Regions from separate parts of the Mus musculus genome. Here all the other regions are reported to be linked to region 1. Evidence: microRNA targets listed by miRTarBase, many of them from high-throughput screens and not tested one by one. Region 1 holds a microRNA gene; each other region holds the end of a gene's coding sequence. Distances are between the middles of the regions.
The links. The annotated mature microRNA mmu-miR-15a-5p reads UAGCAGCACAUAAUGGUUUGUG and lies in region 1 at 2,553-2,574, shown strand. An mRNA with a match to its seed (bases 2 to 7 or 8) in the 3' UTR can be bound and repressed. Matches are read on the target gene's strand: a 7mer-m8 pairs with bases 2 to 8, a 7mer-A1 pairs with bases 2 to 7 and ends in A, and an 8mer does both.

Region 1 (4,316 bases):
TGGGTGCTGGGAACTGAACCTGGGTCTTTTACAGCAACAAAATGCTCTTAACCACTGAGTAACTCTGCAGCCTTGCAACTTGAATTTCAAAAATTTCCATGTAAAAAATGAGCAAATTGAAATACATATTCAGTTGTCAGTGATCACCATACCTGACTTGGCCTAAACAATCAGTTTAGTTTTCCTTTCATAGCCATTAAATAAAATTTGGGTATGTTGTTGTTGTTGTTGTTGTTGTTGTTGTTGTTGTTGTTGTTGTTAGAACAATTTCTTTTTCAAATATGTTACATAAGCTCATTTTCCTAGAAAAAAATCACATGGAAATGGAATTTTTAACTATTTAGTAGTATGCCCTACAAATGATTCTGTCACTTTTCACATATCAAATTTTAGAACTAGGAATTTAAAATGTTTAGAGAAGAAACAGTTCCAAAGATTTTATAGTGGCATTATTGCCACATCAAAGATATTAACATACCCAGCTTTTAACTTCCCAAATTTGTTGCAGTATTTCATGCCTTTAGCTTTGCTATTTAAGTAGATTTTTTGTGCCCTGAGAATTGTTGCTCTGTCATCAGAACTTAAACCTGGTAGTGTTTTCTCCATGTTCTTAGACAACTTCATAAGATGGCTATGGTTCAGAAGCGTCCTACAAAGGCTTATATGTATGTTAATGGTTCATTTGCAGATAGGGAACCAGAAAGGGTCAGTGTACTAGAATAACAGCCATGGGAGACACTCAAAGGACAGTGTCAGGGTTCGGACCTCAGATTCTGTATTCTGTCATTGTGCTCCAACAAATTACTGGTTGCTTATTATTAAATTCAAAAAGTATCCCATTATTCTGATGCAGTCAAGATGATGATATAGCTTGGGCAACATGCCTATAAATGTTTGTGAAGTGCTAAGCTTTATGGAAACAAGATGAATTAATATTAGAAGTTTTATAAGGTAAAAAGTAAATGTTTCTAAAGAAAAATATTAATGGAAACAAATAGAGTTGAAGGGGGAAATAGGACAATTTGGTTTGATCTATCTTCTTAAATTGTTGTAAAATTCTGTTTTCTTATACGAATAATATTAATTTCAGGTATTTAAAGATTGCCATGTATTCCTATGTACACTCAAGTTACCTTCTTAAGCAAAACATTTTGTTTTCTTTTCAGAATGGCTTTTTTTTCCTTTTAAGAACATTAGTAAAAAGTTGAACTATGTAAAAACCCAACAAAGAAAAATTATTTTGGTCCTTAGGCCAGAATATAAACCACTGAATTTGGAACGGGGCATGATGGTGCACGCCTTTAATCCTAGCATGCAGGAGGGAAACCAGGCAGATAGATCTCTGAGTTCCAGTCCAGCCTGGTCTATAGAATGAATTGCAGGACAGCAGCCACTGTCCTCAAAACCTCTCTCAAAAAACCACTGAATTTGAAATTATAATCATTGTATAAAGATAAAGGACAAAATCACTTTTAGCAGCTTTTATCTTTATTTTCAGACTTTTTTTTTTTAAGCTGGCACACTTGAAAGCAAAGGTTTGAAGATTTAAAGACGTTTTGATATTTCAAATGACCCAACATGAACGGGAATGGAGAAATGGCATTGACCCACTAGAAAACATTTGCTACACAGTAATCTAGTTTGAATGGAAAATCTGGTATGAACTGGAATAATAAGAACAGTTCTTTGTGAAGGGATGGCTAAGTCCCCCACTAAACAGAAAAGAGTCTTCTTAATAGTGTAAGAAAACCTAGATATTCACACACACATAAAATGAAGTTGGAACTTAACGTAGTAAAAATTTTGTTTCAGCTAAGTCAAAGTCCTGTGGTATAAAATGATACTCCTTTAAAGGACTAGCCTTTTTAACTGGGAAACACACAAATGGTTACTTAGGCTTGAGCTACAGGATTTCTGATATATCCTTTTAGGAAACCAAATAGACCTGTTATCCTAAGATGATGTTCTGGGTAATAATAAATGACACTGAACTCACAATAACTATTCCAATATTGAGATAAATCTTGTGTTCATGTGTAGATTGGGGGTTATATATTTTTGGGGAATATGTTTCATGTGTATGTCTTCTAAATATTTTGCTAGTATAAATTTCTTGAAACTGAGCTCTTACATGTTTGTTCTTACATGTTTCCTTTAACATGAAGCTTTGTCCTATGGATTTGGCTTTGAAAGATGTGCTGCTCTTAATAAGGTAAAAACCAACTTTTGTAGCTATTTCATGTGTTAAGCACATTCAAAAGTTGTTAGTTTAATAAATGAGGTTCTTAAGTTGGTATGGGAAAATGACTTGCTTTTCTCGTTTCATGACTACAATAAATTACAGCACTGTATTAAGTTTTCTGTACGCTTTTATTAAACTTATGATATGGAAATACTTTTTATTCTGCTGAAAGCCTATAAAATTATGCACATACCAGTGTTAGATTTTTTTCAAACATAGATTTTATGTGTTCTACTTTTTCCTAAAAAGCCTTTTCTGTAAATTACTATTGAGGTGCTAGGAGTTTTCAAAACCAACCCTTGGAGTAAAGTAGCAGCACATAATGGTTTGTGGATGTTGAAAAGGTGCAGGCCATACTGTGCTGCCTCAAAATACAAGGACCTGATCTTCTGAAGAGAGTACCTGTCTTTTTATTCATAGCTCCTATGATAGCAATGTCAGCGGTGCCTTAGCAGCACGTAAATATTGGCGTTAAGATTCTGAAATTACCTCCAGTATTGACTGTGCTGCTGAAGTAAGGTTGGCAATACTCTACAACTGTAATTCAATGTGTATTGATGTTACTTGTGTGTTTACACGGTTTTTCTAATTGCATTAGTGATTTTATGTTTGGTATGATTCTGTAATGATGTTAGTAACAACGCTCTACATATTGTGTCTGTTAAAATACTATATAATTGTGGGATGGTAATGCAGCTCAGTTGGCCAAGTGCTTCTTGCTAGCATGCACAAGGCCATGGGTTTTAGCCTTACCACTGCATACCAGGTACACTTGTAATCCTAGATCTGAGGAAGTGGAAAAAAGAGAATTAGAGGCTTAACATCATCCTTGGCCATAAAGCAAGTCTAAGACCTATGTAAGGATCTGTCTTTTAAAAACAAACAAAACATAATGACTTCTGTGTGAGGAACTGATTATAGGACTTCTAGATACCCAGATTTGTAAATGCTTGGATCTCCTGTATAAAATGTCTGCTCGTGACCAGTGCATATCCTCCCTTATACTTATTTAAACTTATCTCTACATTGTTTTTAATGTGTAGTGCAGTGGGATGTTAACATGGATAGTTGTATTATTCAAGTTATTCTCTTAATGATGAGAAAAAAACTGTACAATTCAGTACTAATGCAGTTTTTGTCCAAGAAATAAGTTTTTTGGTTTGGTCTTTTGAGCCTGGGTCTCACCATGTAGACCAGGCTGCCATGAAACTCACTGAGATCCTCTTGCCTCCGCCTCCCAAATTCTTTGTTTAAAACTGTAGGCCCCAATGCCTGGCCACCCAAATGTTTTGAATGTGTGGTTGGTTGGATCCACAGATGGAGCACTGACTAATAATATAACAAGTATTTTTAAGTCTTGAACACCTTTCCAGAGTTTCTTGAGAGCTACAGTGGTACAGAATATACCCAGTACCACCAAGGCTCGAGCTCTCTTTCCAGCATTTCCATATAAAAGTTTATTTGAAAGAGTTTAGGAAGTACCAAATTGTACATGAATTTAAACTCATATTATTACTTATAATAGAAAAATACTTTTCTCTTGATTTGAAGTTTTCTTTAGATACAGATAAAGTTTGAAATGCTACAGATTATAACATAATCTTGAGTATAATGTGCCTAAATATTTCATTTTAAATGAAGGAGAATAACACTAAAATGTGTACGTTGAATTTTTAAACTTAAATTTAGAAGAATCCTTAGAATAGCTGACCTTTTTATTGGTTAACTGAGGAAACAATCTGAAATTTAATTTGCAACCTATGACATATTAGGGTATAAATCCTATATCTTCTAACTTAATAATTACTGTTTTTCTTATTTTTCACTAAAATGTTTAACAGGAGATTTTTATAAGTCAAAAGTATGAAAGACATCTCATCTGTGCCTTAATATTTAACTTCAGATTAAAGCTAACAGTCATTAATTTTATAAATATATTCAGAATATTTTAATTATTTCAAAGGAAATGTTCTTTTTTTTTTTTTTTTTTTTTAAAGATTTATTTATTGATTATATGTAAGTACACTGTAGCTGTCTTCAGACATTCTAGAAGAGGGAGTCAGATCTCGTTACG
Region 2 (4,316 bases), 36 Mb from region 1:
ACGGAATGCCACCCCGAGGCCGTCCCTTTCGGGGAGGGGAGGAACTTTCTCCATGTACCCTCAAGGCGGGGCTCACGGGCTCTGTTTGTCTTTTTAGCTGAGTGCACACACATAGACAGATACAGACACAGACAGGGTCACCACACAGGGCTGCAGGAGTTGGTACAGGGAAGTTGGCCATGAAGCAGGGGATAAGCCTCATTTCCACTTCCCAGAGGGCTGCAAACACCCCTCATTTCAGTATTAGTTTTTGCACTGGCTACACTGTAGTGAGGTTGGATTAGACTTTAAAGTAAATTCAAGTCCATTAGAGCTAGGGGGCAGGTGTGAGGGCTTAGTGGACAGATCCAAGATCAAAGAGCATGGGGCTTCCAGGCAGGCCTGGAACCTCCTCCGGGGTCCTTGTACCTCCTTGGGTCCTGCTGACAAGGCCACTGGGCTCACAGACCAAAGGGTCTGTTTGTTCGATGAGTCCTCTTCGTTTGTCAGTTCCCCACCCTTCTCCTAAAAAGTAATAAAACTGTAGAAACAAGGCAATGACACAAAGATGCAGGGGGAAAGATTCCATGCCACCTGTCATCTTCATTGGAAGAGGCACAAAGGATCGCTGTTCCCTTTTTACCGTGTTGCCCACTGATAACTTCCCTTAAAAAGGCAATACTTCCAAAATACACAAATGTATAAATACAGGACAAGAGCATATTAATAAGTCTAAACACTTGAATAATATACTGGCTGCTTAATACTGATATTTTCATCCAAGGAAAACAAAATTAATAAAAAAAAACCATAGCTTAAAAGATTGCAAAGATTTTTTTCCTCGTTAGAATTATGTACCAGCGTCATATAATAATTCTATGTAGATAATATTTCCTCCTTAATCTAGTTCACTTGCATACTTTTTACAGACCAAAGCATAGAAAAAATAACAAGAAAAAAAGGAAAAGTTCTCACCATAAATATCTTCTTATAGCTCAACCAGACTTGCAAAATACATCTAAAAATCAGTTTGATATGGATTGCGCTTTCAAAAGCACTGACATTTAAACGCATGCCTTTCTGTTGTTTTCCATTTTAATAGTATCAAGCCATCATATTTTTCTTTTCTTTTCTTTTTAAAAAAAAGACCCTCAAATATATACAAACAAAAATCATTATGAAGAATTTGGGGGCTGGGGGAAGGCTACCAAGTTCCATGTCCAAAGAAAAACTGGTAACCATGCAGAAATTTTAACATCTATGAATTTTTTCCCAAAATACACACATAGCATTTTTTTAAAAAAAAGAAAGAATTCTGTGTCAAGTATAACTCAAAATAAATAGAAATTAACAAGAAGAGCTATTGAATACTTCATATGGGGTAAACACCATTCTCTCTCAACTAGATCACTAGATCTACCGACTGCAAGCGATTGTCCCTTTTGAGTGTATTACAACCACACGCTTTCCTGTCCCCTGGGCTCGTAGGCCCTCTGAACATTGACTCTCCCGGCACCCAGCCTTGACAGTGGCATCTTTTGCTAGCTTCAGGAAGATCACACGTTCAGCAGGACGGGTGATCGGGGGGCCTGGCTGTACACAGACATCAGTCTAGTGACCGAAACGGTCCTTTTAGGCTGATAGCTCACCTTCTACTGGCCCTGGCTTTCTGAAAACTGTCGCTAGCTCTTTGCATTTTTGACCCAAATTACCTATTTCCAATTTGTCCTCATTTGGGACACAGGTGCACTGTTTATTGCCATGACACCCTCTTTAGAGTCCCAGTGGGATGCCAAAAAGAAAAAAATCCCTTTCCTAGCAACAGGAAGCTTGGCATGGGGCAGCCTTAGTGCAGCAGCAAGACTGGAGAGTCCTTGGTGCTGGATGCTCACCGTCTGCAGCCCAGCATGCTACCACTCGAGGGCAGCACGGTGGCAGCTAATAGTCTGGGCTGCCACAGATAATACCTTTGTTAAGTGCTCAGAGAGTATGTTCTCCCAAAATCTACCCTGCAGCTAGCTGCTGCAGACATACAACCATCTCTTCCACTTACCCCCTGGACCCTTGCTTAACACTTCACGTCAGTCATACAAAACATTTTCATTTGAAAACAAAAGGCAACTGGGCACCATATGTAAACACTGAATTTCAGGCCGATTTCATGGTCTGATTTTTTTTCCCTCTCTCTCTCCATAGAAGCATAGTATGAGTCAAGAAAGTCAGTCCTGGCAGCTGGTGAAGAGGAGAAAGACCAGAGAGGTGTGGCTTGTCACAGGGTAGGGGGCACACTGCTGACCCTGGCCAGGACAACAGCCACCCTGCGACCATGTGACATGCCAGGTAATCTCTCTGCCTCCTTAGGAAGTAGGAAATCTCTATCCTCAGTTTCCAAAGGAGAGGTTCTGTGGCTCATTTTAGGCTTGCCCAGTGTTGGGGGGCTGAGGAGAAAGAGGAGGAGGGGTCCTCTTTCGTCTTCTCAGGGGATGGGGACATCAATCAGGTAAGGAGGGCTATAGGAGAGGACATCTTAAGTGGCTATCAGGACAGAGGCTGGAGGGCGGGGCACCTAGATGTTTAGAGACAAATCTCCCCCCACCCCCGACCCCTAGTGACACTCTGTTCCAGAGGCAGCCAGCTCTCTTCTAGAAGTTCAGAGGTCACTGGGACCTCTTGTTTTCTGGTGCCACTTTGTCATTTAACTAATGGGGAGACTAAGGCTGGGGATGAGATGTCCTTGCCCCAAGTGGCAGAAAGCGGCTCCAGACTGCCAAGGCCCCCCTCCTTCATGCCAGAACAGTCTTACGGCTTTTGTGGGGTGGCATCCCGGTCATGGGTGGGAGGCTAAGGGTCAAGAGAGAGAGCAGGTGACAGAACCCAAGCCTACAGGACAGTCTGGGGGAGGTCATGGGAAGTGGTGATGCCTCATGTCCCTAGGATGTCTTGGCACACTGGTTACTGTTCGATGTCTCCATTGCCTCACCCTCTTGCCTGTCTCATTGGCAGAGGGAGGCTGTGTTTAGCTACCAGGTACAGTGCAGTGATGTCAGGGCTGGTGAGATTAAGGACTCAGTGTGGGCAGGGACAGAGGGCCACTCCTCAGTAGCTGCTAGAAGAAGTGACTGTCCACTGTGGCTACAGATCAGGAATGACTTGGGACTTTCTAGAGTGGTTTTTCATACGAGGCAAGCTGCAAGGTGCTGGGTGGGACAGGGCCTGGTTGGTCTTGGAGGGAGAACTTCCCTCAGGCCTCAGGATTCACAGTTCATTTAGTGTACTTGTGGCAGATGCAGGGTCGCTCAGCCTCCAAAGACACTCAGGATGAGAGCTTTCAAGAACATCGAGACCTCTGCTGGCCTCTGTCCTTCTACAGAGCCCAGGCCTATGGTGAAGAGACCCTGAGCCTCCTGTCTCTGCACCCTGTTGGGAGCATGTCAGCTACTCTGCCAGCATGTGAGACAAGGACACACGCCTCCTCTGCTTAAACCCACAGGCCCGTGACATCTCCTCAAGCATGCGGACATTCAGCCCTTTGGGCAACACAGGGAGGTGGCAGCTGAGGGGTGCTACAGTGGTGGCCAAGATCACTGCACACGGCGACAGTAGTAGCCCAGGACCTTGCACTTTTCGCAGAGGTGCTGAGGGTGCTCCTTGCTCTGGTCAGACACATCCAGGCCGTCAGGCTTCTCCAGGGGTCTCTGCAGAGAAGGAGAGGAAGGGGCCGAGGGGCGGGGGGGGGGGGGAGAGAATCTGCAGTTACAGAGATAGCTCAGCCAGTGCCTTGGCATCCCACCTCTTGCCTGTTTGCAGACACTTGTGTCCCAGAGGAGGCTCAGATGAAATTTCTGGGCTGGCAAGAACCAAGGCAGGGTTCTTAGACCCAGAGCCCATGGCAGATACGTTGCTTGATCCACAGAGAGGTCTGGGCAACTGCCCCCTGAATGCAGATTAGAAACCTCCCAAATCTAGCCCAGAGTAAATTCAGGACAGGGGTGCAAAGGCATCTACCAGATGAAGAAACTGAGTCTCAGTCAAGAGAAGCCCCAACTCACATCTGTCCCTTCAATCCAGTGGCTTTGGGAGTCACTTACCCTGGACATAGCTACATTTCAGCCCCAGAGACAACAGGGCTCTTAGTTCCATAAAGCCAATCTGGGGTCTGGGGTCAACCCCAGCCAATTCCTGGCTTAGTGCCTGCCCATTTATCGAATGACTACATGAACTCGTTTTCTAACAGAGAAACTGAGGCCCAGGGAAAGGAGGTGACTTAGGCCTACTGTGCCACTTTAGCGTGATCCTTGTCTGTAAAGCATGTTGTCACACTGCTCATTTGCAAAGTT
Region 3 (4,316 bases), not on the chromosome of region 1:
ACATGCATGGCTGATGCCTACAAAGGCCAGAAAAGGACTGGAGTCCTATAGATGATTGTGAGCTACCATGTGGTTGCTGGGCCCCAGATCCTCTAGAGTGCTTCTAACCTAACCATCTCGTCAGTCCCTGGTCATTTTTAAGGACTCTTTTTAATACCACATACTGCCGACTGCAGTTGTTTAGAGGTAGTTTAGCTTTTCATTCAAGCAACCTTAAGAGTGCTCATGAAATACATCAGCATTCTCTCTCGCTTCCCTTGCTATAGGGCAGTCAAGGTAACCTCTAAATATAGTCAGCCTCTTGGAGCTATAGTTAAGCTGAGGGCTGAAGATGGCTTTGGGTGAGAAACAACAAACTGTTGTCTAGAGACCTACTTGTGGTTCCCAACACTGCGTCTCAGGCAGCTCATAACTGCCTGTACCTCCATCTCTACAGGATCCAGTGAATTAGGGCATTCTGTGCTGCACTCACACAAACATGTGTACGTACACACACACACACACACACCATACATTATTACTTAAAAAATAAGTTTTACCTTCAGGTTTCATTTACCTTCAGGTTTCATTTGTGTATGTGTGTGCACAACCATGCTGTAGCAATGAGAAAATTTGCATATTGGTTTTCCTTCCACTATGTGGGTTCCAGGAATCAAACTCAGAGATTGTTGGGCTTGGCAGCACCTTGACCACTGAAAAATGTCACGGGCCCCCAACATTTTGAGATGGTGTTAAACAGATCCATCTGCCCATGTCAGCTGGATGCCATTATATAGGCAAAGTCTAATTGCTTTGTTTTCTATTTTACAGGGTCCACTACTCAATTTCACTTTGGCATGAGGAGATAATCCGTTGAAACATTAATTGAATATTAAATAGATTCCCTTTTGTAAATCAATGGCTCTTTTGTGCTTTTGTATTGTGAATATTCGATGGGACCAATACATGCACAGCTTATGATTGTATACAAATCCTTAGCAGCAGCACATGAAGACAAACTGGAGTTTGTGTATATAAGCAATGTGTGTGTGTTCATGCACAGTAATCATTAAATTACATGTATATTTGTGGAATGCTAATTTAAGTGATTAAATTATAAACTTTGTGTATTTATCAGGTGGGTGAAAAGATTAAACTTTTTCAAATGACAGTGCTGCTGGACGAGTACCTTGCGGTGCCCTGCGCTTTTCTTACAAAGCTACTGAAGTTACATGTTTCTGCTTAATATATTTGCTACTGGTGATGAAGACAACATATCACTTGTAGAGACCTATTTTTGTATAATGGTCAAAGTTTTGAACTTTATGGGTATTTTGTCAAGTACTGAAATAAAAAGACCTCACCATTTTCACCTTACTGTAGTTGAACCTTCTTGATTTTTCACTAAGCCACAACTCGTGGTCCCTATCATCTTGTTACTTGTCTCAGCTCAGGATCCAAAGTGTGGTTTTGCTCTGCCTTCATTAAAGAACATTCTTAATGTGCCTGTTTTCAACACTAAGGTGGCACTGGTGTTTATGATTAGTCCATGTTTTATTACATTTCGTGTTCTTATGTCCAAAGAGACTTACAAATCTAGACGCAGAAATCAGCTCTCAATATTAAATTGTATCCATAAGAGTGTAGCAAAAATCAGGAAGCGTCCTGCTAAGCCAGCCAAATTCTAATTGGAAAAGTCTCAGAGAGAATACTGTTCTCCAGAGGGCTCCCTACTAGCACTGCACTGACTAAAATAGCTGTGGTATTGGTTTACATCTGGAAAAGAGTGTTTCACTATTAATGGTCTCTGCACTACATGAAGACAATCACAAAGCTGTGCATTGCTGGGAATTTCTAATTTTATTTCCCAAATTTCAACTAGGCTTTCTAAAAATATCAAAACTATTCTAAAGCAACTAGTTGAGCAGGAAAGTTGTGCATTAAACTCTTTAAAAAACTAATACAGTTGCCAAGTCAAGACAGTTCAGTCGGGAAAAGGCAGATGGACAGGTGCTTGCCAGCCAATCTACCCTACTGCTAGTCTACCCTACTAACACCCTATGGCCCTCAGCCTCTGCTGTGTTGTTCACAATAACTTAATAGCTCGTCTGTGGTCAGTATCTCAATCTGGAATTCTAGTGCTTGAGCCCTTTTAAATCTCAGCACTGAAAATATGTCAAAGTCTAAAACTAGACAGTAAACAGGACAGCCTTACTCAAGTCACAACTCTGCCAGGAATCTACCAATCTGATCAAAGTCTAGAACCCCTCTAGGAATAATAAAGACAAAACATCTACATTGGCAAAGAAAATCTGTTACTTAGAAACAATCATCAAACTTTAATCAAGGTTTTAACCTAACACGTCTATGACTTAAAAGTCTTAACAACCACACAGTAAAAGGAGGGACTTGATCAAAGTCTAGAACCCCTCTAGGAATAATAAACACAAAACATCTACACTGGCAAAGAAAATCTGTTACTTAGAAACAAACAGTCTTCAAACTTTAATCAAGGTTTTAACCTAACACGTCAAATGTAACATCTATGACCTAAAAGTCTAACAACCACTCAGTAAGAGACAAGCACACTTTTGAGAGGTGAGCAACTTTTGTAACTTGTTATGAAAATACCTGATTTCTCATGGGGCATTGATAACAAGAGTGACTTACCTAAATAACCAAAGATAATACTAAAAGGAACCTATTTCAGGCAAATAGGATGTAAGCTTCCATATGCCCAGATTTCATGAACTGTACTTACTGAAGCACAAGTTCAAATTCATGAATACAAACCAGTAAAACTTTCTCAGAGAATTTTAATGTGGAGCCTTTAACAGCAGAGATTTAGGCCTTCACTGGGAGTCTTCAAAAGCCTCTTAAAACTGTAACGGAGTTTCAGTTCCTCTTGCTACAAGGAAACACCATGACCAAAAAGCAAATCCCGAGGGTGAAGGTGGGTTATTTGGCTTACACTTCCATATCACTGTTTATCATCAAGTGAGGACAGGAACTCAAGCAGGTCAGGAACCTGGAGGCAGGAGCTGATGCAGAGGCCATAAATGAGTGCTGCTTACTGTTTTGCTCCTCATGTCACGGTCAGCCTTTCATAGGATCACTAGCGTAGGGATGGAACCACCACAGTGGGCTGGAGCCTCTCCCATTGATCACTTATTAAGAAAATGCCTTACAGCTGGATCTCATGGAGGCATTTCCTCAACTGAGGCTTCCTTTTCTCTCTGATGACCCTAGCTTGTGTCAAGTGCCTAAGACCAGCCAGTACACATACTTTTAGAGAAAAGAGGTTTTATTTTGGGGAGTGTGTTAGTCTTGCTCCGTAGCCTAGGTTGGCCTCAAATTCTCAATCCTGCCGCAGGTCCTGAATAACAGCATTACAGGTGTGCAGCACCACTCCAGCAACAGAGCTATTCTTACTCCTAACACAGATTAAGGGCATGTCACAGAGTTGGGTCCGTGGTTACAATCTGTTAGGTTGTCTCCTGAGCACAGAATACGGGCAATGATACCATCTCCCATTCCCCAGTCTCAAGGCCAGAACTCACTAATCTCAAAATCAGACACTTTTAAAAGCCTGGTAAATTTAAACTTCCCAACAACAACAAAAAACCTTAAGCCAAATTAAAATAAAAAAGTCTTACAAGGATTTGATTTTGGATTTTTCACAAAACTGTGACCATTTGGGACCAGTAACATACATAAGCACTCTTTAGATTTTATTACTTTTAGGAATTAAGGTTATCAAGGCAAGGTTCAAGATCGCTGCCATCTTCCAGGAGCGGTGCTCCAGTTAACATTTCAAAGGACACACCACACCATCTAAGTAGCGTTTACTTCCACCTCAAGCTTCGCAGTAAACTTAACCTTTATCCTTTCATATCTTTACGCACAGAAGTGGCCCAACTACACGACCCCATTACCTTTGTAGCATTTGACAAGGCTTTGAAACTTCAAACACCAGTTCCAAATCTCCCTGTGGCAATGTGTGGAGTTAATTACCTGGATGCTGCATTCTATATCTTCTTAATTCCAAGACACACCCCCCCAAATGATTTCTAACATAAACTTGGCTTCCCTGAAATCCTATCAAAACTACTATAAACTGTTTCAAATGCCATTCGGTCTGACAAAAATCACCGAGTTAATAAAACATTAAAATCATAAACTGGCTCTCAGAACCACACTCTTCAACCCAGTACAGCACGAGAGCTTCTCAGAGGCTTCATTCTTTGCCAGCTGCGGCTTGCGGTCCTCTCTCCACACTGGCTTCTTGTTCCTCTTCTCATTTTGATCGTCGTTTGTAACGGATTACTGGGTTTTCT

Region 2: the mRNA of Zcchc24 is a reported target of mmu-miR-15a-5p. Seed matches in the 3' UTR shown: 7mer-m8 at 1,833-1,839.
Region 3: the mRNA of Akap9 is a reported target of mmu-miR-15a-5p. Seed matches in the 3' UTR shown: 7mer-m8 at 1,152-1,158.

Annotation. Positions count from the first base shown.
Region 1 is chr14:61,630,333-61,634,648 of GRCm38, reverse strand. Mir15a (microRNA 15a) reads left to right here and starts at 2,539; the gene lies at 2,539-2,622. It overlaps Dleu2 (deleted in lymphocytic leukemia, 2), which reads left to right. Exons shown (of 7, transcript NR_028264.1): 4 at 2,166-2,212. Mir16-1 (microRNA 16-1) reads left to right here and starts at 2,677; the gene lies at 2,677-2,769.
Region 2 is chr14:25,711,729-25,716,044 of GRCm38, forward strand. Zcchc24 (zinc finger, CCHC domain containing 24) reads right to left here. Exons shown (of 4, transcript NM_001101433.2): 4 at 1-3,674. The coding sequence ends at 3,561. Among named protein-coding and RNA genes, the nearest start is that of Ppifos, 13 kb to the left of the region's middle.
Region 3 is chr5:4,078,849-4,083,164 of GRCm38, forward strand. It overlaps Akap9 (A kinase (PRKA) anchor protein (yotiao) 9), which reads left to right. Exons shown (of 48, transcript NM_194462.2): 48 at 811-1,356. The coding sequence ends at 848. Cyp51 (cytochrome P450, family 51) reads right to left here. Exons shown (of 10, transcript NM_020010.2): 10 at 1,826-4,316. The coding sequence ends at 4,277. Among named protein-coding and RNA genes, the nearest start is that of Gm40260, 3.8 kb to the left of the region's middle.